4 linked regions of the Styela clava genome follow. The protein of the gene in region 2 purifies or fractionates together with the protein of the main gene of each other region. This does not show direct contact. Links are inferred from orthologs where the notes say so. Each region holds a gene or a part of one and is shown on either strand. Other genes may lie near its edges.

Region 1 (6,864 bases), on a different chromosome or scaffold from region 2:
AAAAAGACTTTTTAAAACTTTCAAAATATATTTCTATATTCATGTCTTATAATTTGGGTATAAATTTATGAAAAAAAGATAACATTATACAGAAAACATACCTGATTATTGGAATTGCACCAAGACATACAAACACGCAGTAAAGACTGTCAACAATTGCATCAATTATGCTCATCATTTCTGTGTCTTTGATGGCAGTTTTATTGATACCTGTTTCAATAATCATGGATGGCATTATAACAGTATATAACTGCAGAAGCAAACATTTTTAGTCATTCGTATTCCAAGAGATGCTATATAACTGCGTTGAAAACAGTGAGTTTGTAAACTCTGACTTAATAATATCTAAATTAAATAACAACTACAAAGCTGAAGCCAATAAACTGCATGTAAAAATCACCAAATGTATAATTGAATACGGTTAACTTAATAAGCATAAATTCAATATTTTTAGAAAAAGACAATTGATTGAACTAAAAAGAAACCTACTGTAATATGAAATTGCATCTTTGTTTTGATTTCTCAAAAGAAACATGTTATCTTCGAGACTGATGAAATTTAAATATTGATCGAAAACTTTAGTAACATAAGATTCTGCATTCGCCTTAAAAAAAGGGAGAGTATGGTTATAAAATGTTTAACACATTAATGTAACTAAAATAGGAACTATGATGAAAAAATTGGTAATGTTTATTAAATATGTTGATGTGCATTATATATTTTGCCACTGACCACTAACACAGTAAGAGCTATAAATAAGCTTATTTCCAATATATAATGGTTGACATGAGACCTTGAATTCAAGTCAACATTGCCAGGGAAAAACGATAGACGAAAAAAAAATTTTTCAAGGCATTAATTCTTAGTAAAAACTTTTAGCATAGTGTTAAATTCTAATCATGCACCAGCAAAGACGTCATCAACAAAGATGTCTAATATTTCCATTTGTCATTTGTGATTCAATTCAAGTTGACAGACCAAGAACTTTTAACAGAATTCTGCTTCATTGTCCAAATTACAATTCTTACAACAATAACTTACTAATACAGCAGCACTCGCAAGATCTTCTAATTTATGTCTCGGAATAGCGGATATAAAATTAAAGTAATATCCTTCATAAAGCTCATTTTGCATATCCTGTAAAAAGAACAGAAAACATAAACAGTCACTAAATAACCAAATAGCAAACCATTCTCAAATTAATAACTTGACTGTATATAAAACTGTCACACTCAACACTGTATATTAATATCTGGTGACTAGGGCTAAATGCCCTACAGAGTGGTACATATTACCATAACAGGATATGTCTTGGAATTGATCCCTGTTAGCCCCCACAACTTGTCCACCCAAACTATGATAAACTAACAAAAGAATAATCACAAAGCTATCATTCATTACAAACTCGGCAGCTGTGTTTTTTTGAAAACATAAGAAAATTGTCAGCCAATGTTACAAATTCCTTCAAACATTACCCGACACATTCTTGTTATATTTTCATCTGTTGGTAAAATAAAATATATGGCAGGAACGTCTGGTACTGGATCTCTGTCACTATGAAGAGACCTGAATAAAAAAATATTAATAGAGTTATACTTGATTTGCAACTTGCCATCAATTTTATGCCCTCAATTCGATCGTGAAATAAATTATGCAAAGCTATATTAAAAATAAAGTCATTCCAATTAATAAAAAATCGATGTATAGTAGTTAAGTTATGAGCCATCATTGATCGAAGTTGCAATAATCAAACTTTCTCAAAGCTGTACATAAAATTTGTCCTAAAATAGATGCCTTTAAACAATAGTTTTACTTACAAGTATAATGTAACTCCCATGTCTCTCAATTCACTAACAGATAATAAAGGTGAAATAATATCTTGACCGAATCTATCATAAATCAAGACTTTCCATTCTGGTTCCATACTTGATGCTTTAGTTACTGGATTTCCAAAATGTAGCATTCTCTTGATGGCAACTAAAATTAACATGAATTTATACCGAGTTATTTGCCTTTCGCTGTGAACGAGGTCTTGTAAAAGCATCAACTGAAAATATATTCAGAATTTTGGGGAAAATTTTTTTATTTATAAATGGTTGCTCATCGTAAAAGCTTTCAAAACCAAATTCAATGATAGGACGCAAAAAAAGAGGCAAGTTCACTAAACGCCGTCAAGTACTTCTAGTTGGCGTGGCATAACCATTTTCGCAAATGTCATTTTTGACCCTCGCCTGACTACGCCATCACAAAATTAAGCCACTACAACGTCACAGTGACGAAATAAGGCCCGTCAAAGTATACAGATTGTCATCTAAAACGCGCAGACGATCACTCAAAATCAAGCAAGCTATTTCTCTTGTTTTCTCGTCCTACAGTCCTAACGATCCTGATATGAGGGAGATCCGATGGCGTTAGCGAGTTCGTTATCATTATCAGAGATGCGTTTTCAGGTGACCTAGCTTTTTTTTGGCAAGCTCTATGACGTGATTGTGACGTAGTCGGGTAGGGGGTTGGAATAACATAAGTAAAAATGTTTGTGCCACGCCAACTAGAATATTTATGCCTTTTGTGAACATGCGCCCATAAAACTGTGAAAAGCACATCAACTTTCAGACTTTACCATTCCATAATTTCTTTCTCATCTGGAAAGGCAGAAAAGGGTTATGGTACTGAAATACGAAAGTCCTATCTCAAAATGAGAAATGACGATACTGTAGGTTCAAAGAAACAATATAGCCTAGACATCTCTTTATCGGAACACGGAATTGTAAAAATACAGAAATATATCATACCTGCTTGCCGTTCTCGTATAGAGGCAGCCATTCTTGCTGAATAGGATTAGAAAATTAAAGAACAACTCAAAGACAATCTCCTTCTATCCACGAAAACCCATGAAGCAAATAACGGGCTAGCAGATCAATCCAAAACACATAACATCAAAGTAAAATGCGATTACAGGATTAAGCTAAGCTACATAACATGGGAACTGTAGTAGTAAACCACTGTGCCTGACTCGTCAGCTCTTCCACGCTAACAAGTGCTCCCTGTAAAAATAATATGTTCGGAGCTTAAAGAAAAATATTCATGTTTTTAAAAGTTTTGCAAATAAATTGAATAAGTCTGACTATAGAGGTCTTAAATTTTTCCATTAATTAAAAATGGTGCTTTTTATTCAAAAGCTATGATATAAAATATTAAGGGGAACACGGATTTTTCAACGTCAATATTGCTCTATTTTAAACCTAGTGGGCACAAACATTTAATATATCGTAATTAGGATGGAATTTTTCTATTTATCGTGGGAGAGAGGAAAACCGATAGGACGAGATAAGCCACGGCCTATCAGCTCATGTCGGATATGGGATAGTGGACCGTTTATTTATTTCAGACACATGAACTTGATGGTACAGGGGTGGGCAAGGTTTTTGAACAAGGGGCCAGGAATTTTGCCCACCTAGACTGGCGGGCAGTGGCGTAGCATCCACCCCCGCAACCCCCGCGGTCGCGGGAGGGCCCACAGCGCAAAGGGGCCTAAGCGGTTAGAAATTAGAATTTAGAAATTTAAGCCGTAAAACCAAAAGCTGCATTGCAAAACCAGTAATGCACATTTTAAAACGTTGATGTTAGTTCTGCTCAAAACATTTTGGTACGTAACAATGCCAGGGAGTCGTCGATTTTCGGCGTTTTGTGGTTTGATCGCACCGGCAAAGTTAGAAAGGTTGTCAGAATGATGTCGAAAGCAAAACCTCTCAGTGGCGCACAGAAACGCAAAGAAAGGGCAGAAGAGGAAGCACGTATGAAAAAAATTAAAGTGATCAAGATAAACGGCAAATTTTAGGTTACCATTAATAGCGACGTGTTATGCTTTTTGACGAAATAAATAAAAGCGTTGTTTTAGCTTATGTCCGAGAGTTTTTAGGGTCATTTCCACGAAATATTTTTGCGGGGGGGGGGGGGGGGGCACGAGAGTTTTGCTACGCCACTGCTGGCGGGTCATGTGAGTGTGGCGTGATAGGTTAAATTCTATGAACAATATTTACAGTGGTACAAAAGAAAAAGTGGAAAACAATAAGCCTTGAGCCAATATTAAATTTAATTGAAAAGTCAACAAATTCGTTGAGCTATTTTTTTAGGATTCGACCCGCGGTCCGTAATTTGCCCATGCCAGTGTAGAGGAGGCCGAAACCGACCAGCGGCTACGTGAACGGCAAGTAGTCTGTCAATCTGAGAGCTAAATCCAAATTGCAATACCAGTAAAATGACAGCTGATACGAATTAAATTCGTTTCCTCTTCCAGGCACGGTAAATATGAAGACGCAAGGTCACTAGAATGATGAAGGTGATCAGAAAGAGCACACACATGTAGAATCACCAATGAAATTTCCTCGTGTTCTATGGACTCGATGTTCCATCAAAATGTTTTCTGTTTAAACCCTTCTTATTTAGTATTCACGGTGCACTCAGGGGTTTTCCTACCGGTATCCATGCGCCATTGAGCCTTGTTTTCATGTTTTCAAGAAAACGTAGCCTACACGCAAAGCGAACCACTTATTTTTTTTCTAAATTTAGACAAAAGCACAAAACTTCTGCTCTCATCCAATGCACCCTCAATGAACACTTTTATAAATACCCTCTGTAGTCACATCTAAACAAACTTACATTTTTAGCTTTGCAAATTTGTATTTGAAATATCGCGAAATATAATATCAGTCTTCAAAAATGTTGCTAATTATTTGGACACGTAAATTGTCTGTCAAATGATTTTTGTATCATAATGACTTATGGACTGCGACTTTATCACCTTGTTTTGAATCTCGTAATTTGTTGTTGTTTAGGTTTTGCGAGAAATGTCTGTGAATTTCACTTAGAACCATTATGTTTTGGCGTAAAATATACATTCTCGTGTGACATTGTACTCTGGCCTCTCCAGTCGGACCTTCGCCCCATTTAAAGTTCAACAAATCAAAAGATTACGCCATCCTACCCCGGGAAACATTCGCAGTATAATACTTAGGGCTTTGCAACATATTCAAACATAGTTTCATATTAATTCCCGGGCGTCACAACAAACAGTTCTAAACAGCTTCGCCGATAGGAAAGTTAAAATAAAATGTATTAATTTTAAGACATATGCAGTCATCAGCGATCTTCAAGAATCTGTTTTCAACTTGAATTGTTGCTGTGCTGTGTTTTTTTTAAGAGTTTCGCCGCAAAACCACAGCGATAAAAGGAGGTAGGCTCTACAGAATGAATGAAATATGTCATTAATAATAATCTGATACAAATCTAACCCTGGCGAGCTAAACACCTTTCCTCCCAAACTTGATGCAACGTCATACTTTTGATAGCTATTCAGCTGAATCACACAAACAAACAAACTAGCAGTTTAGTCGGTAGATATTGCACAAAATAATATAACACAATAATGCTCCAGTTAATGGAATGAACAAAAACTACACAATATTCCTTGAATGAATGGAAATCTTAGATGATCTTGGAATCTCTATTCTTGTACTGATATTTCCTTGTGATGAATGGGATCCCATGTTTGTTGAGCATATGAATCCTCATGCTTTGTTTGATGCCATATGCACGGCCACATACTTTACATTTATGGGGTTTCTGCTTGATGTGGAAAATGTTGATATGCCTCTTCATATTGTTATACTGTAAGAGGTAAAATACCATGAACATTTCAAAATAGTAAACTATAAATTGAATAGAAAGTTATTTTTGAGTTATATATTGTCAATTTAAATGGATCTACTTTACAAAATACCCTGAAGTATAAGTCAAATTTTACTTAGTAAATTGGCAAAAAAATTAATTGGTATAACGGCATTTTGAACATACGAATGTAATTTTGAAAGCATGGTCCATAAAGTATATTCAAGAAGGCAATTGGCGGACAAGCTAACCACACACGATATAACATTGGTATAACAATTTGTTTTACAAGATAGTTCTAACATATTTAAAAAAAATCCAGTTCACCATCATAATTATCGTCATAAATTCAACATACCGCTGTGAATAGTCTGTTACAGAACGGACATTTACAACATTTCCTTTTGTGTTGATCAAATGCTTCCATGGATGAGAACAAGTGATTGCAAGTCACACAAACATGAACATTATTATCAATATTTATATCTGAAATAGAATAAAAAAGGATTAGAAAAAGAATATTCAGAGTTAAATATGACAATCATCAATCATGTTTTTAAGTCATTTGTGTTTCTCTGTAATTTTTACCCAAATTGTATATTTTTATGATTTTCTAAACATGGGCCAACTCTCGTGCCATGATATATTTTCTCGATTCTGGCTTGCAAACACCTTTTCTTTTTACTACATGACAAGGAAACTCATTGTACACTCAAGATTTAAATTGAGTTTATTCTCAAGTACAACGCTTAGTGAGATGGTACTTGAACATATGAGCTATGCCCAGACCCCAGAGGTAGGACACACGGTATGGCAAACTCATTCTTGGAATGACCTGATAATCATTGAATTCGTTCTTGTTTTTTGTTTTAGACGTTAGACAACAGCAATTAGGTGCTGATGGATAATTAGTGCTGTATTTGACGTTTTTGAAAATGATGTGTTATTAGAGTGTCATGTTGCGACATGAGAGAACCGGTTCTTTAAATTTTGAATCTCACCACCGGATATGCCCCTCTCAATTAACTACATTTTGTCCAGTTTGCGTCATATGCAGTGTTATAGTGCTTTGATTTGTGCCAAAAGGTCGTAGAGGTAGATTGGCTTACTTGCATTGGCTGGAGTCGGAACATGGTTTGCACTGCTGGGATAATCATAACTGTGTGTGGTGGCGAGTGCAGGTTGTATGGGATGGTA
Region 2 (7,319 bases):
CTTGGCTAGTCACCGAACTCCTAATAGGACTAAAAAAGAAAAATTGGAATAAAATTATGTCCTAACCCTAACCTGGTACACATGCTACGTTCCGGTGTTCGCCATCTTGGTTCACATACTACTGGAGCGCCCACAAGGGAGCCACAATGCTAGGCGCAAAACTGATTTTATTTTTCCTTTTACAAAAAACTCTAAAAAACCTCGGGAAAGGGGCCACGCCATGGACAGTTGGGAACCCCTGGACTGGAGCCTCCTTATCACTGCTTATGACCATGAAAACATAATCCATGAGTTGCTTTCCAAATATACAACAAAGAGAGGTGAGAATCAGCCTACCTCACAACTCAGGTGAAACTTAATCCAACAAATCCAATATTGATCACAATATATCAATACGGAGATAAATTATTGATTATTAAGGGATTTAGAATTGAGGTAAATGATATCCACAGATTGGATCCAAGTTCTTGAATCCTTGATTAAAGATATGAATAATGCAGAATATCCTTCACCAAAACATGTCAAAAATATACAATTCAAACATCAAGACTTTAACTAATTGCACCAAGAAATAGCAATAAAATAGAACATTATAAAAGTGGTACCAAGTAGATTCTCAATATTTAAATGCACAACTGGTAACAGGCAGGCAGTAAAGCATCTTTTCATCTGTTCAGGTCAGGGGTGTGCAACCTTTAATAATACAGGAGCGCCAGATACACATAATTGGGTAAAACCGCGGGCAGCAAATTTATTTACCATAGGCTTTCTAGTAGATGCAGGCACAAAAATTAGTGAGTTATTGATGAAAATGTGTTTTTTATTGTGTGTGAGCGCTTCAGCAATCTGTCTGAGTTATGTATTTTACTTTTCCAGTAATTTGTGTGTTCAATACAATAAGAAAGTTACATGCGATTATATATCTTCCAAGTATTCGAGATTCGATTCGAAAAAATTATTCGATTCTGAAATATCAGGTATTCGAAAATGCCTAGCCCCAGTATTGATCTGATGACATGCAGTGCTCGCTTCGCAAGAGCTCAGGTATAGGCTTTGCAACGCACAGGAATTACTCGCATGTACTAGATTAAACTTGAGAATTTTGAAACTCGTTTCTCGTGCCGCACACCATTTCAAAATAGGCATTTCTCCACGGGTCACACAATTTTTCCTCGTAGTCGCAGGTTGCACATCCCTGGTTTAGAGTAAGATTTCAATATATTTATCCCGGAAGAGCAGATAAGACAAATCAATCATATGGCAAACCATGTCCACTCGTTCGGTTACCAATCCATGATGGAATTAGATAGCCTAATCAGTTATCAGTTATCAACAACTGGCCGGGTTACATGAACCATCCAACGCCTGTGAGGAGCCAAGCAATCCTCTCGCATTTGATTATCTTGTTTAGTAGATTAATAGGCAGGGATGGCCAGTTTGAATATCTCGTCATTCGAATATCGGAATCAACGTTTATAGGAATATCGAATTTTTGTGTAACGTCACACATCTGCGACATCGCTCTCGAAGCGTCTTCATTGAATGTTAACTTTCTCAATAGAAACTTGGCATAAACTATCAAATAATTTGTGTACATATACTGTTGGTTTGTGGCCTCATTCTAATATTTCTATTGGAGCTATTTCCTATTTTACTGGATATTACCGTAATTTACTAAAACAAAAATTTGTATGTCTGATTTTAGAATGTATTGAAAATTCCAGATTCGAAAATATTATTTTAGAATGTATTCGGAAGAGTGCAGTATTCGGAACTGGGCATCCCTGTTTATAGGCACATTAAATATTGAGAAAACTTGTATCGTATGCTCCTTACATTCTTACTACGATGGCGCAGTACAGGGGTGTGCAACCTGGGGCCAAATTCGTCCCTCTATAAATAATTGTGTGGCCCACGAAGAAGTGACAATTTTGAATGAGGTGCGGCCTGAGAAACAAGTTTTAAATTTGATTTGGTACATCCAATTTACTATCTAGGCTTATGACTTCATAATGCCTTAAAAGCTAAGTGTGGCCCGCGATTTCACCCAGTTATATCCATCTGGCCCTCCTGTTTTAAATGTTTCACACCCCTGAGATAGCATTATTGGCACTTACAAGAATAATAATGATGAACAATCAAGAGTACCTTTTGGGAAAAAACCTGATGAAAAAAATCATGAACATAAACACAGCGCAGACAAGAGCAAGAGATATCCACAACAACCAGTTCGTCCCTTTCTTTAAATGACTCTCAAGTCGTGACGACTCGGTTTGAAGTTGGCCGTAATTCTGATCAGCTTTTTTAGAAGATTTTTCGATCACATTCAAATCATCTTTTATAACTCTGTTAGAAGCCATAATGTTGTGTTTCAAATTCCTTGTTAACGCAACCATTTCGTCAGCAATTTTTTCGTGCATTTTATGTTGATGTTGCAGTATAGCTTCAGTGTCTGCATTTTGCGTACTTCCACCAGAAGACGTTGCTCTATAGCGCACTCCGGCTGATTTCTCCTTCTCTGTGAGCATGAGTTCGTCGCGCATTTCCGTAGTGTATCTCGACGATGCCTGCATTTGAATCTGCTTTCCCGTCGGAGATTCTTTATTAGTTGGAATCGTCCGAGACTTTGCTGGCACGAGTAGTTGGTTAGCGAGAGATTTTTCTGATGTGACAGGTAATTTTTGAGTCTCTAAAAGTTGTTTTAAAAATTTAATTTTCTTTGCGTATTCACTGATGATATCTTCCTTTGGTTTTTCCGAGGAATCAAGCTTTTGGACCGCTTGTAGACGTTCCTCTAATGCTCCAACATACTTTTCAAGTCTCCAGTCATCAGGTGTGTTTAACCCAGCCATCTCTTCACATCTGGAAAGCAGTCGTATAAGACGAATCTCTGCTCGGCTTCTCACTGCAGGAGCCATCTTGAAATAACTTAATATTTAGCTATTATTTATTTTATTTTAGTGACAGCTCTAGATTAGATTAAAGATTTGGAATTTATGTCTAGTTTGTTGACTTCCGCAATATAAACTAAGATAGGATTCACATATTTATCCTGGGTCACACAAAGTATGTATGTTTATTTGCCTCAAAATGTAACAGTATCTGCATAATAATTGAACAGTATAACAGAGACGGGATACATGTTCAAGACCTTACTGGCCTAAGACACAGATGTGCGACATGTACCCCTAACAATTATAACAGCACTTTAGGACTGATGCGATATACCAGGACAACAGACATGAAATTGACAATACAAATAAAACTCTAGTAAAATACACAAGACAAAAAGGTAAGGCACAACGACAATATGTACAATAGTTTTTAGGTGCGGACAGGCCCAGAGAAACAAAACAAATATCAAGATTGGTTTTTACAATTAGCTATTTATTATATTTTCTTATAATTAAATATTCACTGGACATGTACCGGACTCAAATACATGGAGAAATAAAGATAATATTGAAGCAATCATATTACAGTATTATCACAGATTCAGCAATAATTAAAAAGTTGGAAATATCATTAACAATGCCTTTTAGAGTTGAACATAATAATCATCAGATTGATGACAGAGCAATTATTTGTGTAAAAAAAAAGATAAAAAAAACAGCAACTTTCAATTATGCACACACAAAAGTTAGAAAAAATGGCCATGACCTTCAATAAGCAAATCAAACACGAGATAGTCTATATTTCGAGAAAATAATTTAAGGTATTAGGACTAATTAGAATATTTCACTAGGAAATACTTTTTCAGTCAGTCAGCAGGTCAGTGTCTTACTGAAAACATGCACAAATAACTTTTTTTAGTTTTAGGTGGGAGATTGCCCCAAATAAGTATAAGTATATTAAGTATAAGTTTATTTCGACTCCATAATCAGCAAAACAATAAAATGAATTGTAAAAATAAATAAATAAAAACTGCTTATGAAATCAGGAGAGCGAACAAAACCTTAGATAAGGTTTAAAACGTACAGAATGCATATAAGATGGAAGGTTTTGCCAAGAAGATGTGGTACGTGTTCACTCACATAAAATAATTGAAATATTTCACACAAGCTTACACGCACCCACACACACAACCATATAGAAGTTATTAAGTAAAGGAAACATGAAAAATTACATACTGGTAGTTAATAAAAAATAAATAAATAAAAACTACTTGCCACACCATATTAATAAATTTATGATGATTGCACTGCCAAATTGGTCAATTTTATAAATGGGAGTGAACAGTAAAGATAAACTTTGGACCGGACGAGAGACCGTGGTTTTCTATATGATAAGCCGTATTTCCTCTACCCGGAATAAAATAGACACTTAATCCTTACTAACAACGAGATAGATGTAGGCCTACAGCTATCAGTTCTGAACTACCCAATCCAGATCATAGTCACTTTGATCCAGACAGTCTTGCTAATAGAAACGATGACGCTACAAGGAGTCATATATTTGAAATCCGGAGGTCAAACTTCAGGGTAGAGTTTGCACGCGGTATTGACAATATTCTCGAGGAAAGATATATTGAACACATTTTGAATTTCCATATAATAAGAATCGTCATGACAAAACTCATTGTCAAATTAGTCGTTGTTTTATTGAAGAATAATAGCTAATGCTTTTTTTTGATTACGTGCGTAATAAATCACTACAGAATCTGGGGAGATCCACGTCTCTCGGGGCTCGGGGCACCGCTACCCACAGTACCTTAATTAACAGACAACATACTCAACTGTGGAAAATATACAGTGTGCATAAATTCCTATTATAAAGAGACAAAAAATGGGAAAATTAATCTTGGTTAGCCGCTCATCGTGAAGCGAGTTCATAGCGAGTTTGATGTCGTAAGCTAAAGTAAAAAAGAACCGTTGCATTACGCTCCAATTGACTTGAATAGGCAAAAAAATCCCCCAAAAAATGATAGGTATTTGTCTGTCTGATAGATACTTTCGTATGTTACGCGCTATTCCACGAAAGCAAGGTTGCTCCAAAGCTTGTATGTACATTCATCATATCTCAGACCAGAAGCCTATTGATTTTGGATGAATAATGTCCTATAATTAGCGAGTTATCAATTAATTAGTTATGGGACACGCGGTGTCGCTATTGAGTCAGAGCGAAGGATACACGCCGCTAGATCGATAAGTCGGCGGTCTCTGATTGCTATCTTGTTGTTGTTCTGTTTCTTTCAGAGTGACCAAAATAAAATTGATTGATTGACAAATTTTAAAATTGCAGCTGACACAACAATGAGTCACGAAAAATTTCATTTAAATGATCATTCAAGGTATGTCAAAGCCTTTTTATCAATTAAAAAATCAATTTCCGTAGTGTCAATCAAAACATTATGCACAAAGACTTAACATATGACGTCGTTAGATATCTACCACCTCGTGCGCACGTTTATAATCTTTCACACCTCACAGATGTAATATTACTGTTGAAGTTAACTTGACCACGCAAATATGATTCAAGAAGCACTCTAACCCTACTTATTATGCTACGATTTCTGTTATACTCTACCAAATAAACAGATATTGATTATGTCACAATTCGATTGACAGCGCGAAGATTAAACACGGTTTGTGAGTTTTGACGTGGAATGACAGACACAAAGTTGCTCAACAACGAAGCAGAAGCTTCTGTTTCGAGCGAGAGCATGTAAGCATTCAAAGGAACGTACGTGAGGGTGATGACATTTTCCCCTTTCTTGAATACATGAAACACAAGTATAGCCAAGAAGATGATCGATACTTTGGCAATACATTCTAAAATCAAAAGGACGTACAATATAATGAATGTATATTTAATATCAAACGAGTTTTACCAGAAAATCAGGTTTTGATATGTAATACTTGAATTAAAATAGAACTATCGCAAAGTATTGCTTTAACTAAATTTACTGAAGTCAAAAAATATAATATTTTCAATAACTTGATAGGATAGGATTTACATATTTTTCCCGGGGGAGAGGAAAGCCGATTATTATTATTAGTTAGTTTTTTGTTTTCGTAAGCATGGACTTGATGGTGGCACCCTACAGTGGCGAGGAGTCAAGCAATCCTCTCGCACATAACCATCCCTGCATGGGATTCGAACCTGCAAACCCACGCAGAGTAATCAATGATGTCCGGTGGCTTTTGCATTTCCGCCTGCACATGTCTGTTGCTGTCAATTTTTATATCACGGAGTGAACTTCGATTGATCGACTCATGTCATTCATCGTGAATTTGTAAAGTGTCGTATCTACATAGGATATCAATTCAGACGACAGTACTTGAGAAATGTAGCGTTGTATTGTCGCAGTACAGAGAAAAACGAGTTCGCACCGAAAACGTCGTGTGCTCCCGTAGTATGTGAACCAAGATGGCCGAAACCGGAACGTAGTATGTGCAACAGGGTTAGGCAATAATTTATCACGAGTTCGGAGACATAGCCAAGTGACTCCTGTAGTATTTGTACCTGAAATTATGGCCTAACCCTAACCTGGTACACATACTACGTTCCGGTATCCGCCATCTTGGTTCACAAAATACGGGAGTACGAAACGATTTTCTACTTTTCAGGACTTAATATCAAGAATGACTTCCGTAAAATCTTCAAAATATGTCCTCAGTGTTGGACAAATATGTGTTGACTTAATAACAATATGCGAGTCATATCCAGAAGAAGATTCTCAAAATGGGTAAGACCTACTATTATTTTGTTACTTAGTATAGATCTTGTCATTTTTGAATACCTGATGATTTCAGAATCGAATCTCGAATACTTGTGAGTCAATGGAGATATGTAATTATATGCTAATTTTTTATTGTAATTGGTCCTGTCAACAAATTCATTACTGAATACATCACTAAGACAGATTGCGGAGCGTTCACACACAATAAAAAACACTTATTTATCAATAACTCACTACAGAAAATAGTCATATGTCAGAATGGTATTCCTAAAATATGGCTCTGTTAAAAAAAATTGGGTAATTTTCCTCGACCATAGGCGGAAAAAAAAAATAACAAGATGGAGGCGATTCGAAATTATGCTCTGAACCGATTCAACAATTTACTATTCGATTCGAATATTCCAAAAAATTTGCCTACTTGAACTTGCGGGCCATGTAAGTGTGACGTAAAAAGTTACATTTTATGCACACTATTCAAAGTGTTGCAAAAGCAAAAGTGGAAAACAATAAGCCTCGTGTCAAACCTTATCGTAATACTGTCAAGCTTAGTATCATAAAATCCAGCTCATTCATTATAATAACGAGAACTTTTCATGAATGATGCGCCTGAAAATGATCACATAATGCTGTCGGTTGC
Region 3 (6,873 bases), on a different chromosome or scaffold from region 2:
ACATAAATATTAGTTGTAATTTCCATGCACAACCTAGCGAGATATTCACAAACTGTGATTGGTTACATATATTAAAATTACCCATCTGATTTTGGCACATTATTAGTTAAGCCTATTGGTTAACCATCATAAACATTAGTCCTTCAATACTGAACAAAATAGCACAATAGAAATGATGTTTGATGTCTAGAATATTTGTTAATGAATATTACAACATAATATACTAGGCAAATAGGACTAACTAATTACAATTACAACAGTATCAATACCTGATGTGTAACTTTATCAGCATTAATAAAAATGAATGGGATCTTTGCTTTTTTATATGCCCGACCAAATTCTGGTGGAAAACCATTTGTGTCCAATTCCATAATTCCACCAGGTAACGAATTATTTTCTCCAAAGCATTGGCTGAGTCCAATAACCAAAGCCACAATAAGGAGCTTCATTTTATTTGAGCGCCTTTCAATATTCCTACAGGTAAATATTAAAAACTAAAACTTTATTTTAAGAACTGTAAACACAGACAATATATGGCAAAATAAAATATTCAATCCCTGCACAACTAAATTTCATCCAATTAGGGATCAAATTTCTGTGTCAAAACCTATTTCTTTTTCCCACATTATCCGACAACAACCAATACCAAAATTTTACAGATGACAGACAAAGATACACATGACAACACCAATATTGTATAAACATTGAATAGATTATACATAATTCCGAAATAAACAGTAACTGTCAAGTCCTAAGTGCTGAACCACTGAAATCTTTTTTTAATTCGCCAGAAATTTATGTCATCAGCTAGAATTAGGTTGGAGTACTGAACTATTAAATTGAATTTATAATATTCCTTAACATGAACATGTAGAATCTTTTTTTCACCCTGCATTGTTCGTGCATCAGTGACATCAACCTAGAACATTTGTTGCCGAATTATTTTTAGATCAGTATTAATACTCAATACCACAAAAAAATTATATCAAAGATTCTGACGGATTATTGCACATTATTAACCAATTTTAACCTACAACAGAATAAATCAAGTTAAACACAGTCAGGAAAATATCCAGACAGCGATAAATGAAATTCTAGAAAACGAAGCACTGATATCTAGAATAACTGTTACTAATACTAAGTATAATGATTTCTAATAAATTAAATATATTTGAATTTAACAACAATATCATTCTTTATTAGTAAAATTTTATAGGGTTAATTATTACACAGGCCACAAACGCTTTTTCAAAATATATAGCACTGTACTGAAAAAGAAAGCCAATGCAAGAAATATTAAAAATTTATCAGTGCATTCTCGCCTATTATATTTAGTCAATAACCTATGACTGGTCTGGATAACGCCAGACTGGTCTTTCAATTCTTCATCGGTCTGTTTTAAAGAACCAGACGACCTGACTAACGTATTCAATGAGTCAGCACTCTGTTGCACGCTGCCACTCATGACCCGACTTATGCTCAACAGACTTTGTGTTACATCGTTCGCAGTTCGTGCAAGGTTTTCTTGATTTGCAGCAGATGCTTGACGACGACGAACTTCTGAGTTTTTAGCACCACCAAGAAGTAACATTTTCGACTCCTCATCGAGAGCAATCTTTTTAGTCAAATATGCTTTGCGCAACGTAGAATTTGTGTTCTGAATTTGTTCCTTAAAAAATTTGACCGACTCTTCCATTTCTAATTTTTGTTTCACATCATCAGCTTCCTGTGCAGCTGTTTCAAAATCTTGAATAGCAGCACGAAGCTCATTAATTTTTCTACGAGCATTTTCATGAATTGTCTGTAAGTTTTCTATTGTGCCATCACATCTCCAGACATCCTGAATCGCAGCTTTAGCAGAGCAATCCATTGTAACAATCTTTTCTTTCAAATCAGCATTTTCTGGAACTTTCTTCTTCTCCAGAGATAACTTACGCACCCAGCTTTGTGCATTCATCGCCCTATATTCTCAAATAACGCTAAACAAATATTGAACTTATTCTTGATATTGAGAAAATACAAAAACAAAAAAATCAAATAAAACAGAGTCACAGTGTGATAGCTAGCAAATATGAGTCAGTATCAAATAATGAAAATTGATTCTTGATTATCAGGCATTGATCAAAATATTTACGAAAATTAAATAATCAATCAACATCACTTTTTCTAAATCAAGGATTTATTAATGACGATGTAATTTAGTTCAAATGAATAGTCGAATGAAAAACACTTTTTGAGCACTTTTTTGAATTGTGACTTATTGCTAAAAAACTCTTGGGTCATCACCTGAGAGCAATCAAGCCAAACGCTTTAATTATCTAGTGAAATAAGAGCCTGCAGTTATGACGTTTTGTTGAAGCTGGCGCTAAGTTCCCCATACCAGCTGGAGCTGAAGCTACTAGAAATTTTCAGTGAGTCCCCAGTTCTTGAATGTTTACATATTATTTACCTTTTATAATTTTTTTTATATCACACTCCAATAAATAATGAAATCTATCATTCTCAGCATCATGATTTTGAGACCCACTGCCGTGAAATTTCAGCCCAGCTCAGAGGTAAAAACTGGAGCTCTAGCTGCTGTTTGAACATACTCTGGCTCCAAACCTGGAGTCACGTTGATTTCAAACAAGCTCTGCTTGCTACAGTGTGAAAACAATTTTACTTTAGTGCGCTATGATAAGAAATCCCAAAATAAACATTTTATAGAAACTACAACTTCATAGTATTAACACTACATGGAATTCTTAATTATGTTGTTATCTTCTTTTTAAGTATTGCACACCAATCAAAAACTTGTCATTTTTCTATGAGTTTCCATTCTTGACTTATGAATTTTAATATTAGATTCCAGTTCTTTCATGTTTGTCAAATCTTCCTTTAGTTTGTCGAGTTTTTCAGTCAAAGATTTGACGACTGAAGGATTAGATTGGTTCCTTCGTAATGATTCTTTTACTTTGAGAACTTTTGCTTTAATTTTTTTCATGTCATCTTCATTTTTCATCATTTGTTTATTGAAATTTTTTACATTTTTTTGTTCAGTACCAGCCTTTATTCCAAACATATCTTTAGGCATTTCAATTTGCTTTTTAGAGTCTTTTTTAGCTTCACTGACACCTAAAGTCTTGTTGAGGAATGAAAAAACACATCTGTCACGTTTTTTTCTCCTAAGTACTTTTTCACTTCCTTGTGTATTTTGGTTTGTATCGCCAATGTGTTTTACACCCTTTTTAAGTCTTACTTCCATGCAATGGTCGAGCGATTTACCAACTGGAAGCATGACAATTGGAACAGGTTCTAAACGGCCTTGACTGCTTTTACCCAAGCCTTCACCTAATTGATATCCCATTTTCTGCATAAGTTTCGAGCCTATGCCGTTAGTGTGTTCTTCCCATAAGCCTAAACGAGGAGGCATCCCTTTGGAACTTGATGCTCCATATTCTTTGTATAAATTTTGGGGGGTTATCTCTACTAATATGTCTTCGTCAGAATCTACTTCATTTTCATCAATAATAATATGATTAGTCTCAGGCAAAAGGTCATGTAAAGCTAGTGTAAGAGTTGGAGATTTGTGCAAAAAACTAACAGAGTAAAGATTGTCTTCAATTTTAACCACAATACCAGGTTTCCATAATCCATCCTGTGTTTTAGCCAAACATTTATGTCCTTCAGTTAAATTTGAGTAATCTGGAGAGACAAAAGGCCTCAGCTCAAATATATTGACAATATAACCATGCGAATATCGACAGCCAGCTTCATCAAACTTACAATTCCCTTCAAGATAATATGGGCAAGGCTGCATTTCTTTCATAATTGGGTTCAAAAAGAGTACTTTAACGTTCATTTCATTATCAGCCTTATCACATATACTTTCATCATTTTCCACTGCTACTTGTATCATTGCATTGTGATATTGTGTACCTGACCATTCTGTAGAAAACGGTGCTTGACATTTTACACCACTTATGTCATCCACATATTCAATACTGTCCAAAAATATTTCATTGTTTGGATCGGACGAGTCATTGTTTTCACATTTAGAAATATTTTCACTAAATATTGACAATGAGCTTTCATCAGTCTTATGCAAAGAAGGACATTCTGTATCCAAATTAGATATCTCTGAATAAAAATTTGCTAATTCGTTATCCATAGTATGCCCATCAGCATCAACATTATCTGGATTGCTTTGACCTGTTTTGTCCTGGTCATTTTCTGCTTGTGAATCATTGTTGTAAAATGCACTCAATTCATCTTCTATATTTGATGTTGTTCCACTCCTTACATGTTGTCTATCAGTAGCTATGTCATATTCCAATGATTCTGCATTCTCAATTGCAGTTGTATTTTCTGATGGACAATCAACACACAAACTCAATAATTGAGTCAGATCATCTCGCAACTGCAATAAGTCTTTTACATCTGAATTATTCGTTTGACTTTTTAATGCTTCATTTACTTGATCAAGTTGTTTCTTGTATAAATCTGTTGTTATGCTATCCATTGTAATCATACCAGAATGAACCTAACTAAATAAAATATATATCATGTCATCATGGATATACCGTAATTAAAAAAATTACCTATTATATTGCACATATTTTGACAAAATCGATGGATTGGTTCACGCCAGCCTGTTACAGACATTTTTAAAACAAATAATGTAATAAAGAAAAGGATGAAGCAAAACCAACAACAACATAGCCTCCTTCTACAGCGTAAAAAAGTATGATTAGTATGCTATTACAACTTCAAATACTGAAATAGCCTGATACTGATCACAATTACCTTATGTTCTTATTGTTTTTTAAGATGCAGTGTAGTACTGTAGTACAGGGCTACTCAACTATTTTTACCGAAGATCCGCATACAAAACTTCAAAATTATTTGGGTCCGGTGTTTTCACAAATTATATTTCGGCATCCTCAAACGCACACTTCCTCGACCGGCTAATGATTTTTAGCTAATCAAGCTTGTTTGTTATGGTGTTATAGTTTATTTCATATATATTCAAAACAATAAAAGTTACTTTATAAAATGAAACTTCAAATGTGGGGCTAATGGTCCAAAATAAAGAATTAGGTGCGGTCCGAATCAAGTACTCGAAAGGTCCGGATTCGGACCGCCAGTTGAGTAGCCCTGCTGTAGTAGCCTACATGTAGAACAGTAGTAGGGATAAATAAAATTATATATGACACAAGACAAAAAATACACTTCAATGTTCATGAATTTTTTGAAAAAACTCGTTTCAATATGTAAAGAGCAAAATTGACATGGTGAAATAATAGCCAATTTATCAAGTTATAATTGCCAATGATGTTGTATCTTGGGATTTTCAAATTTATCCTGGCAGACAGGAAAACCGATAAGAACAGGTTGGTTTTATCACACGGTGTACCACGACCTCTAGTTTCTAATCCATGTCGAGTACGACGTTAGTTAGCCAGTTACTTGTTTCAAATGCATGAACTTGATGGTGGTGGAAGCCATATCCGAATAAATGCTGTAACTGCTTATATTACTGTATTATAGGCCTAGCGCTAAACGAAAATGTGTGAAAATCCTTTTTTTAATTTTTAATAAAATTGTCTCTCACGAAATTACTGACAGACAGACATGTTAGATGAAATCACATCTAACTTACTGAAATAGGGTTTAGTGTTTGCCTGTAACAGACCCTTATTTCAGTATTTGAAAAAAATTGAAATTTGAGTTGTATTTTCACATCACATTTTTTGTTTGGATAATTCAAGCAGTTATGCCGTTCATTTTCACATCACATTTTTGTTTGGTGCTATACCTGCATACTGTAAAAGACGAACGTTATACACAAGGTCAATTTATTCAGTGGAAGTTTGCCAACTAGACTATTTAATCAAAGTAACTTTTTTCACTAAAGTTTATAATTTTCACAGAATAATATTTTATCAATTTTTCTGGTCATCAGGATGAAGCATTCCAATAAAATATTCCTCTTGCATTATCAATGCATCCCTCGAATGACCAACATCATTGAAATCAGCTGTGGCATCTCTTCCTGCTACATCGTTCAAAACAGATTTCCCTCCAGGATGTTCAGAATAGAAGTTTGTAACATCATAGATTTTATTATTTAAAATAATCCACAAGCTCTTTTTATTGTTGTGCTTTGAAATATCAGCTTTCCGAAATACAGGAGCATTGGCATAGTTCGACATTTTAGATTAGTAGACTAGACGAAATACTGAAATTTTAATTTGTGTTAGGTGATTAGCGCACTGTACTGTTGAATTTAAATAGGATTTACATATTTATCCCAGGGAGAGCAAAGTCGATAAGACGGCTTAACCATATGACGAACCACGGCCTCTCGTCCGGTTACCATTCCATGTCGGGTATGGGATTAGTTAGTTATTTTTATTAACTAACTAGCATGGACTTGATGGTGGAGGAAGCCGTAACCGACCAGCGGTTACGTGAACCACCCTATGGCGGCGAAGAGTCCAGCAATCCTCTCGCACATGACCATCCCCGCATGGGATTCGAACCTGCGAACCAACGAAGACTAGAAGAGTAATCAGAGGTGCGGTGGCGAGCGTATTTCTAACGCTTAACACGATGAGCCACACAGCCGTGCTGAAATATGGAATGTTTTGAAATGATGTCAAATATTTACAGATTTATGGCACAATGTAAAGTTTACATATCTTTATGGAAGACTACAATTCAGACAATTGTGAGATTCATCAACTCGCTGCCAAGCATTACAGCATTAGGTTACGGTACCGGTAGGCTACCGGTGTACAGGTAAAATCAATCAATCAATTTTATTTTGGTCCCTCTGAAAGAAACAAAACAACAACAAACGGACAAACAAAATGCAGAGGACCTGGAGCA
Region 4 (7,792 bases), on a different chromosome or scaffold from region 2:
TACTTTGCCAATACATTGCAGATTCATTCTAATTTATAGGAATACTTTTTATGACATGAGGGAAAACTTTTAGAACCTCTATGTACACATATTTGAGGGCTGAGCATTGCCCTCTTGTGCTTGGGTTGCCATATATGGAAGCACAGTAAAAAAATACATAAGGAGAAGTTATTCACACAATAACCAAAGCACCCTCAAATTATAATTATGAACAACTGAAAATGATATGCTAATTTTCACCAAGTCTTAAATAGCCTATGAAAGGATACGGAAGTTGAATCATTAACAAGTTCGTGAAAACCCGTTCAAAATCTGCACGTAGATCCGTTGAAGCTGTGGAATTTGCTCCACTTTTACTAGAACTTTTCTCGCCCGAGGAGCCTGGCAGTGTCTTAGGAATGGTTCGTGGACCAGGGGCAAGAATAAAAGGCCAACTTATGTGCTTCAAAACACTCTCCAACTCTCTGAAATGGACAATTTGAGTGTTAAATACTAGGATGATAAAGTAACTCCAATTGGTTGAGAAAATGTTAGGGATAATATTGAACAATGAAATCCTTCTGAAATAGTTCATCCCTGATTTGTAACTAACTACTTATGGTCACTCGGAGCGTGTCCTGAAAATAGCACCCGAGGAAATTGAACCATGAAAATATCAACCTGAAAATTCTGATTCAAGCGATAAAAATATCACATTTTACAAAGAATCAATTAAAAAATAAGTTGGCATTGGGGATTTTATTTGAGTGGGATATTCCATAGAAGAAATTTTCAATGACACTTTCAGAGAGGAAATTTACTAGGTGAATTTTTCTAAGGTGGAATTTCTGTAAGTATCGATTTGAGTGAAATTAACACACTGCACACTTATCCCACAAACAGAAAACCAAACTTATTAAACACCCTTTTTATCATTTTAAATTCACAGTCCTTTAAACAACTTTCTGCAAGCATTTTTGTTACTGTTCTAGTCTACCTCAATTATCATAACAATAATAACTGATACTTACAAAGCCAATTTGTCCTTCAAAAATTTATGCCAGAATAGAATTGTATCGGAAGTAAATTTCATTAGACTTTCACATTTTGAATGTTGTGTTGTGAGTATCTGGTTAACCTTTATCAACTTGGTAAAAGCTTGACTACCACCACTCAAATTGTCGCTCGAAATGCATCTCTGTATTTCTTCACTAAATAAGAAATGCATAAACTTGAAGAGTGGGCATTATGAACGATTGGCTTTGATTTTTAATTCTAGGGTCTGAAAAATCGTGATGGATGCATTCTTCAGCAATATATATAACAATAGCTAGTTTTCATAATGATATTTTCCATTCTGAAAATAATTCTTTATCAAATCATATTGGAACGCCCGATTATATTTACAGCGATTGCGAGCTTTTTTTGAAAGTTTGCCCGACATTTTGTCTTGAAAAACTAACAAATAAATATTTTGTTCAAAAGTATCTAAACCTTGCACAGTGTACGGGATAGCCTGTTTGTGATTACTGGAAACAATGAAATCAGTTTACTGAAATGTAGGCTAAACATTGTATGGTAAAACACTATGACATCATAATAAAAAGTTCAACAGCTACGATGACATCAATTCAACTACTTCAAGCACTTCAGTCTTACAATTTCCAGTCATTAAATAATTTTCAATGAAAAATATATAAATATATTATAGCCAAATGTGACTGTTAACATATTGGAAGCAATATATAATCTAACAAGTACGAATAAATATAGTTAGATTCATAAGTTGCCAAAGTTAACATTGTCTGCAATCTATGACAAACCTCAATTCTTCCACATGTTTCAACCATTGTAAATAAACAACAAATTTTTCTATTTCCTTCACTTGAAAAACCATTCCTCCAAGATCATCATTTATGGGCTGGCATTCTTCCATAGCTTGATTAATTTTTTTAACAAGAACATCTTTTTGTGCGATGAGAGTTTCACCTTGTGTTAAACTTTCATCAGAAAGTCGGATTGCACTTTCAATTTTTGTTGGAACTTCAGTTCTAATAACAGACAGCTATAAATAAAAGAACAATTTCTTAGTATTGGTACAGTAATACGTTTATTCCGAGATATAGTCAACAAAGGTGTCAAGACAGAATGTCTGAAAAGCAAAAAAACTAAAACGCCAGCGACGCAAAGGGGGGGACAAATTATATATGTGAATAAAACATGGAGACCACCCTTGTGCTAAAATGCACATGCGAATTATGATGCATAATGCATATTATTGCTCCTATCTTGTATAAAAAAACATTTTCTGGCATATGAGAGTTAAACAGGTACAATACCACCATAAAATAGTTCACTCAAACTAGCCTTCTGTAACATATGAAATTTTTCATATGAATTGTTTGGTCTTGTAACTGTGACCTAAACAAACATAATAGAACTCAATTACATTATGATGGTCATCTTCAACAAGGGAGTGGAAGATTATCATATTATTACCATGGGGAGCCAATTGAATATAAAGTCGTAAATGCTCAGATTGGAGGGAGGGGGGGATTAAAAAATCAAATGCCTGAAACAAGCAATCAAAATTTCAAAATTATCGACTTAAACTGACGTTTATTTTCCAGAATTAATAGCAAGTTGAGGTTCAATTTAAAGTGACCTTGATAAAATGAGATGTAATTTTTCTATAATCGCTATAATTAAAACCAAGTCAGTGTCGCATAAGGATCAAATTAATAATCATTGTTTCATTTTTGATGACCTTAATTTTGTATATATGTATATATCAAAATTCTGTACAATAATATATCAAAACCTGGTGTTCAATATCACGTTGTCTTCCAAGCAGTTGATTGTATATTTCCCTTGCATTTGCTAAATCATCAATCCTTGTTACTTGACCAAAATTTGTGTCAAGAAATTCCTTAACAATCCCCTGATGACGATTCATCATACAGCTTTCACAGACAAGGGTCAAAAATGAGACACAAAATCTCAAATATAGGCTATTACTATTCTATACCATTTCTTTGATTTAAGATAATCTGTGATGAAAGGTCAATTTGCATAAATTATGTATACCCATCTATGTTGTATATGACAATTGGTCACCTCAAATATTGTATATAGAAGTGCAAACTAAAGATCATAAATACTACCAAGGACTGAATTTTAGTTGATCAGGAATAAAATTTTTACCACCGTGTCCATAACTAATTTAATTTATGGGTATTGAGAAAGATTTTGCTATGTCTAACCAAGAGTAATGCCCTAAAAATATACAAAAACCTGGTTAGGAGTCAGGACATATTCGACACCTCAAAACCAAACGTGCTAAGTCCACTTTTCCAAAAAATGACATTTTTCAATTGCTGATTTTCCTGGACTTAGCTCTACATTTTGGTCTATTTGCCTTATCTCTAGGTGCTCTAGATCTCAAGACAGCTATGGACATAACCCTGCTTTTTTTAGGGCATTTGAGAACTAAACAGAGCTGTGTCTACTATAGTGGACTTAACTCTGGATAACTGCATTGTAAGTTGGGGCTAAGTCCGTTTTTTTCCCTCTATAATAACATAATAAAGGGGCCCTTAGTCCAATAAAATTGTTTCTGGTCCAGAAAATTGAGAGCCAAAAAGGGTTAAGTCCAAAAAAAAACCCCCAACACAAATTTTTTTATACCATCCAAATATGGCCTTCATTGTAACTTTGGTGGACCATAAAAACTAGACATCCTCGATGTAAGGTATTAGAGAAATAAAAAAAAGAAACAAAAAACTAGAAAAATGAACTTAGCCCAATTTGGATTTCATGCGTCGAATTATAAGGTAAGTAATAATTTCCTATAAAAATTTTGAAAATTGTAACAGGACTTTATAAACACCTCATATACTATTTAATAATGAATGTCACACACAAAGATAGGCTATAACATGAATTGTAAATTTTTTTTGTTCGATGATACAAATCAAACTGGTTTGTTAACATTTGCGATTTCCTCAAATTTGAAAATAGTTGCTTGATTGTACCAAACTCAGAAATAGACCAAAAAGTGTTTTACAGGAATACAAATAAAAACAACAATTACAATTTTATTACCTAACTCTCTAAAAACAAATTCGTAAATTTTTCAAAAGTTATAGAATAGTAGTATGTAAAGTAATTAATGTAAATAAATAATAATAATGGAAAAAACAATAATGCAGAGAACAAGAAATGAAACTGAAATCTTTAGAATGTCACAAGCAAACAAAATCACCAATACCATATCGGTAAACAAAAAATACAGTGAGTTCTGGATAAACCATATAAAGGTTTAGGAAATAATTACTTCAAGTGCAGAATACTCTATCATAATAAAAACTCATTTATAACTCTAGCTTTCAATTTTCCACAATGAAAATCATATGCGAGATATATTTTATATTTAAAAAAAGAATGAGGTCCGGTCTAAGGTAGCTATGAACTTATCATCAGTGACTGCTTTTTCAAAGCCTTGTTCAATTGTGTGAAATTATACTTGAAATTATGTGAAACTTCATCTAACGTTAGACAAGCTAGAAAACTATTTTACTCTCCCTGACATCTTCCATATTTTCAGCATTTCGTCATGTGAAAAAATATCACATTTTATCATTCCCTCAACGAGTTCTTGCTTTGCATTCCCAACAAAATTATGACGTAAGAAGTTCACAATTGGGGAATTTTTTTGATGATAACCAGCTTTCTCTTGAACAGGAACACGCACAATACCTAGCGTTTCTGTGCCCCAATCACCAGCATCAATACAACGTTTTTCAATATCAAAAAATTCACTTTCAGATACTTGTTTTAAATAGAAGTGATTGACCAATTTTCCTTTTCCTAGGGTCTGAAGATAAGAACGAAAATATTCATTTTCGGTCATAAAAAATCTTAAATCCAAATTGATTTCTTCTCTTAACTCACGATTAAGTCCATCTTCAATGCTTTCTGAGCCTTCTATATTATTAATTAGACCTCCAGGAAATCCAAAAGTACCATCAAATCTCATCGTTATTAGAATGTTATGTTGCATTGGTATGCGTCCAAATAAACTCTTGCTAGAGAAACTGTAAATCATTGCATGAGCTGCATGTTTGCAGTCTCTCATGGATGTAAGAGATTCTTCCTTGCTTATTGCAACAGCATTAGGGTCTTTCCAAAGACATGGCCTATCCATATCACAGTATTGTGATTGAGTTATGGTGACACACAGGCACAACACTCAATTTAGCAATTGAGAATTCAACTCAAAAAGCAGGCTAGTTTAGTTTATTCTTAAATATAAGTACAATAGAGGATTATTATTAACATTGTGCACTTTTTTATATATACTGATATAGGCCTACTTACAGATTTATATTCCTTATTCACCATACAGTACCGTGGGTCTCGTGCATGCATCTAGTCTACATAGATCATAGATGCATACATAGATCCGTAGATGTAAAATCTATGGTCTGACCGTAGTAGTATATATTTACGGTCTGACCGTAGGTAAATAATCTTGGCGAATCAAATAAAATATGACCGTGGTGAACGTTTTCAAGTTCGTCGAACTAAAGAATCTGGCAAAACATCAGCCTCGGAATATTATGTTGTTGTTTTTCATCATCATTATCATTAAAAAATCGCTTTTTTCTTTGAATACTGGGACAATTGCATTGAAATTTTCAGTGGTTGAAGATGGAATTTTCTCCAGAAGGCTATTACTTTTATTTTCCTCCAAACTTCCTGTAAATCCCATGAGATTTAATATTTTATCAAAAAATATCGCTGTATTACCATTTAATCATGGGAACGCGATTTTTAACCCACCAAGCGTTTTGTGAACTACTGCTTCGCTTGCTGTTCATATAATATTTGTAGACTGCAGTATTTACTGTTATGAATGATACCGTAGTAACTCGAATCAGTAGGTATTTCAATTCACTTTGAATCGTCACAGAACCTGGAAAGTGGGTGTACCTATAACAGTGTCCCTTTGCCGATATGGAAGCCCAAACAGTCTCTTAAAAGCGGGGCCTACAGTCACAGTTATAATTAAAGTTTTTTAATATGGGGGCTTTTTTGGAAATAAGTAAACTGTGCCGTACCGTACTGGGTACGGTACGGACAGGGTACAGGGGTACGGATACTCAAGTGCAGTTTTAAGTATTCTGTGGCATCTGCAGCTGCCGCAAAACCATGGCGGTATTTCCATACCATGGCCGCTACGACCAAACTCATGGCAACTGACTTTTTAGCTGCCACAAACCAATGTCGAGCTGCCGTCACCGCGGCAGCAAATTGAAAACCAATGGCAGGTAAAATTTTGCTGCCGTAACCGCGGCAGGTGGGCCGTAAAGACAGGGCCAGTGTTCCCTCTAAGGTGTGCGCGTGTGCGCGCGCACACAGCTTTCAGAGGCTGCGCACACGCATAGATTTACTGCGCAGTGCGCACAGACTTATTTCGATGTAATGTAACAATGTGCTCGGTTGGCAGGTTGAGAAAGTTTGTTGTTGGCCCACTTATTACCCGGTTAGAACGCCAAAATTTTTTCATTGGTTTTTGCACAAATATTAGTCATTTCCAAAAAAGTGCGCACACACCAAAACTTCTGCGCACACATACTACAAAAAATTAGAGGGAACATTGGACAGGGCTGTCTATTATGGTGACAAATATTGTGTAAGTTGGAACGTTTTTCTTATGGATACAGTTTTGATTGATTTGGGGTTAGGGTTAGGGTTTAAGTAGATATAATTCCACATGATCAATTAAAATCTGGTACATTAATTTGTGAATATACCGTTAATACTGATTACTGAATACTGAATAGCGCTATAAAACCATGGCAAGAGCTGCCGCGGTTCGTTCGTGGCAGGAGCTGCCATGAAGTGGTAAGAACTGCGCCTCCGGATACTAGCAGTTGGTTTCAATGTTCAGCTTCGTGTAGGATATCTTTGGTTTTCGGTGAAGTGATGATGAATTATCCTACGGCTCCATTTATTTGAGCATAGCTCTCTTGTTTTAATAATGATGGTTTTGATAATTTAAACCAGTTTGTGAGAGCCAACTCTTCGAAACACTATCATAATAAGCCTCGTCACAATGGCTTAAGTTAAAAACTATAATTTTTATCCAAAAGATTTAACCATGTGCGATTCAAAGAGACTGGAAGGCGAAAGCCAATAAACAATCGATTCGCGACCTCCAATACTCCTAAATGCAGCCGACTACAGACTATTACTATTTTCAGATTCTTTCAGATGTGTATACTCCACTATAAAAGCGATATTTGTCTAAAGAATTAGACATCAACAAAATTGTGTTGCTCTATTTTCGCTGCTCGTTTGCGAGTATTATTAGACACGAAGTGGACATAACGATCGTTTCAATATTATTGGACACGTTTAGTGGCCATAACGATCGTTTCAATATTATGTTGTTGTTCTTGTTCTTTGACACATTTTTAAAAATCGCTTTTCTCTTCGAATACTGGACCAATTGCTTTGAAATTTTCAGTGGTTAAAGATTAATTTCTTCGCTAGAAGGCTATTACTTTTATTTATTTCAAAATTTTGCGTGAATTCTATGAAATTTGATATTTCGTCTAAAATTTTGCTGTATTATTTTTTATTCATGGGAACACGGATTTTAGTCAGTGTCATGACTGGCTGTACGTTTTGATTCTGCAAAATTCTTGCTACTGGAAATTCAGAACTTTTTTGAGGGTACCGGTAGCGTCAAAGGTACCGGTAAAGACTGATTCGCTCTGGTCTAACGTGTCCATATATTTGTGCG

What was found.
Region 1: the proteins of vesicle transport protein USE1-like (region 2) and sec1 family domain-containing protein 1-like purify together in Homo sapiens (affinity purification with mass spectrometry; 3 studies listed by BioGRID and IntAct, counting the BioPlex papers as one, with this or other methods). This does not show direct contact. The link is inferred for Styela clava from reciprocal best matches to the Homo sapiens genes USE1 and SCFD1.
Region 3: the proteins of vesicle transport protein USE1-like (region 2) and vesicle transport protein SEC20-like purify together in Homo sapiens (co-immunoprecipitation; 4 studies listed by BioGRID and IntAct, counting the BioPlex papers as one, with this or other methods). This does not show direct contact. The link is inferred for Styela clava from reciprocal best matches to the Homo sapiens genes USE1 and BNIP1.
Region 4: the proteins of vesicle transport protein USE1-like (region 2) and RAD50-interacting protein 1-like purify together in Homo sapiens (co-immunoprecipitation; 3 studies listed by BioGRID and IntAct, counting the BioPlex papers as one, with this or other methods). This does not show direct contact. The link is inferred for Styela clava from reciprocal best matches to the Homo sapiens genes USE1 and RINT1.

What each region holds. Positions count from the first base shown.
Region 1 is NC_135251.1:11,552,300-11,559,163, forward strand, and holds the start of sec1 family domain-containing protein 1-like, read right to left. Parts: upstream 3,005-6,864; 5' UTR 2,824-3,004; coding exon 2,793-2,823; intron 1,978-2,792; coding exon 1,818-1,977; intron 1,567-1,817; coding exon 1,476-1,566; intron 1,138-1,475; coding exon 1,042-1,137; intron 605-1,041; coding exon 490-604; intron 211-489; coding exon 102-210; intron 1-101. Other genes in the region: uncharacterized protein LOC120336583, read right to left, coding at 5,485-5,667, 6,026-6,153, 6,777-6,864. UniProt on the Homo sapiens protein: Plays a role in SNARE-pin assembly and Golgi-to-ER retrograde transport via its interaction with COG4. Involved in vesicular transport between the endoplasmic reticulum and the Golgi.
Region 2 is NC_135261.1:1,556,442-1,563,760, reverse strand, and holds the start of vesicle transport protein USE1-like, read right to left. Parts: upstream 3,002-7,319; 5' UTR 2,919-3,001; coding exon 2,139-2,918; 3' UTR 1-2,138. Other genes in the region: ketohexokinase-like, read left to right, coding at 6,585-6,688.
Region 3 is NC_135250.1:16,235,077-16,241,949, forward strand, and holds vesicle transport protein SEC20-like, read right to left. Parts: upstream 1,958-6,873; coding exon 1,226-1,957; 3' UTR 515-1,225; downstream 1-514. Other genes in the region: cathepsin L-like, read right to left, coding at 270-449; zinc finger CCCH-type with G patch domain-containing protein-like, read right to left, coding at 2,786-4,510. UniProt on the Homo sapiens protein: As part of a SNARE complex may be involved in endoplasmic reticulum membranes fusion and be required for the maintenance of endoplasmic reticulum organization. Also plays a role in apoptosis.
Region 4 is NC_135250.1:9,702,323-9,710,114, reverse strand, and holds the start of RAD50-interacting protein 1-like, read right to left. Parts: upstream 3,027-7,792; 5' UTR 2,939-3,026; coding exon 2,801-2,938; intron 2,045-2,800; coding exon 1,803-2,044; intron 1,191-1,802; coding exon 1,011-1,190; intron 465-1,010; coding exon 270-464; coding exon of another isoform or gene 241-269; intron 1-240. Other genes in the region: U8 snoRNA-decapping enzyme-like, read right to left, coding at 4,550-5,185. UniProt on the Homo sapiens protein: Involved in regulation of membrane traffic between the Golgi and the endoplasmic reticulum (ER); the function is proposed to depend on its association in the NRZ complex which is believed to play a role in SNARE assembly at the ER.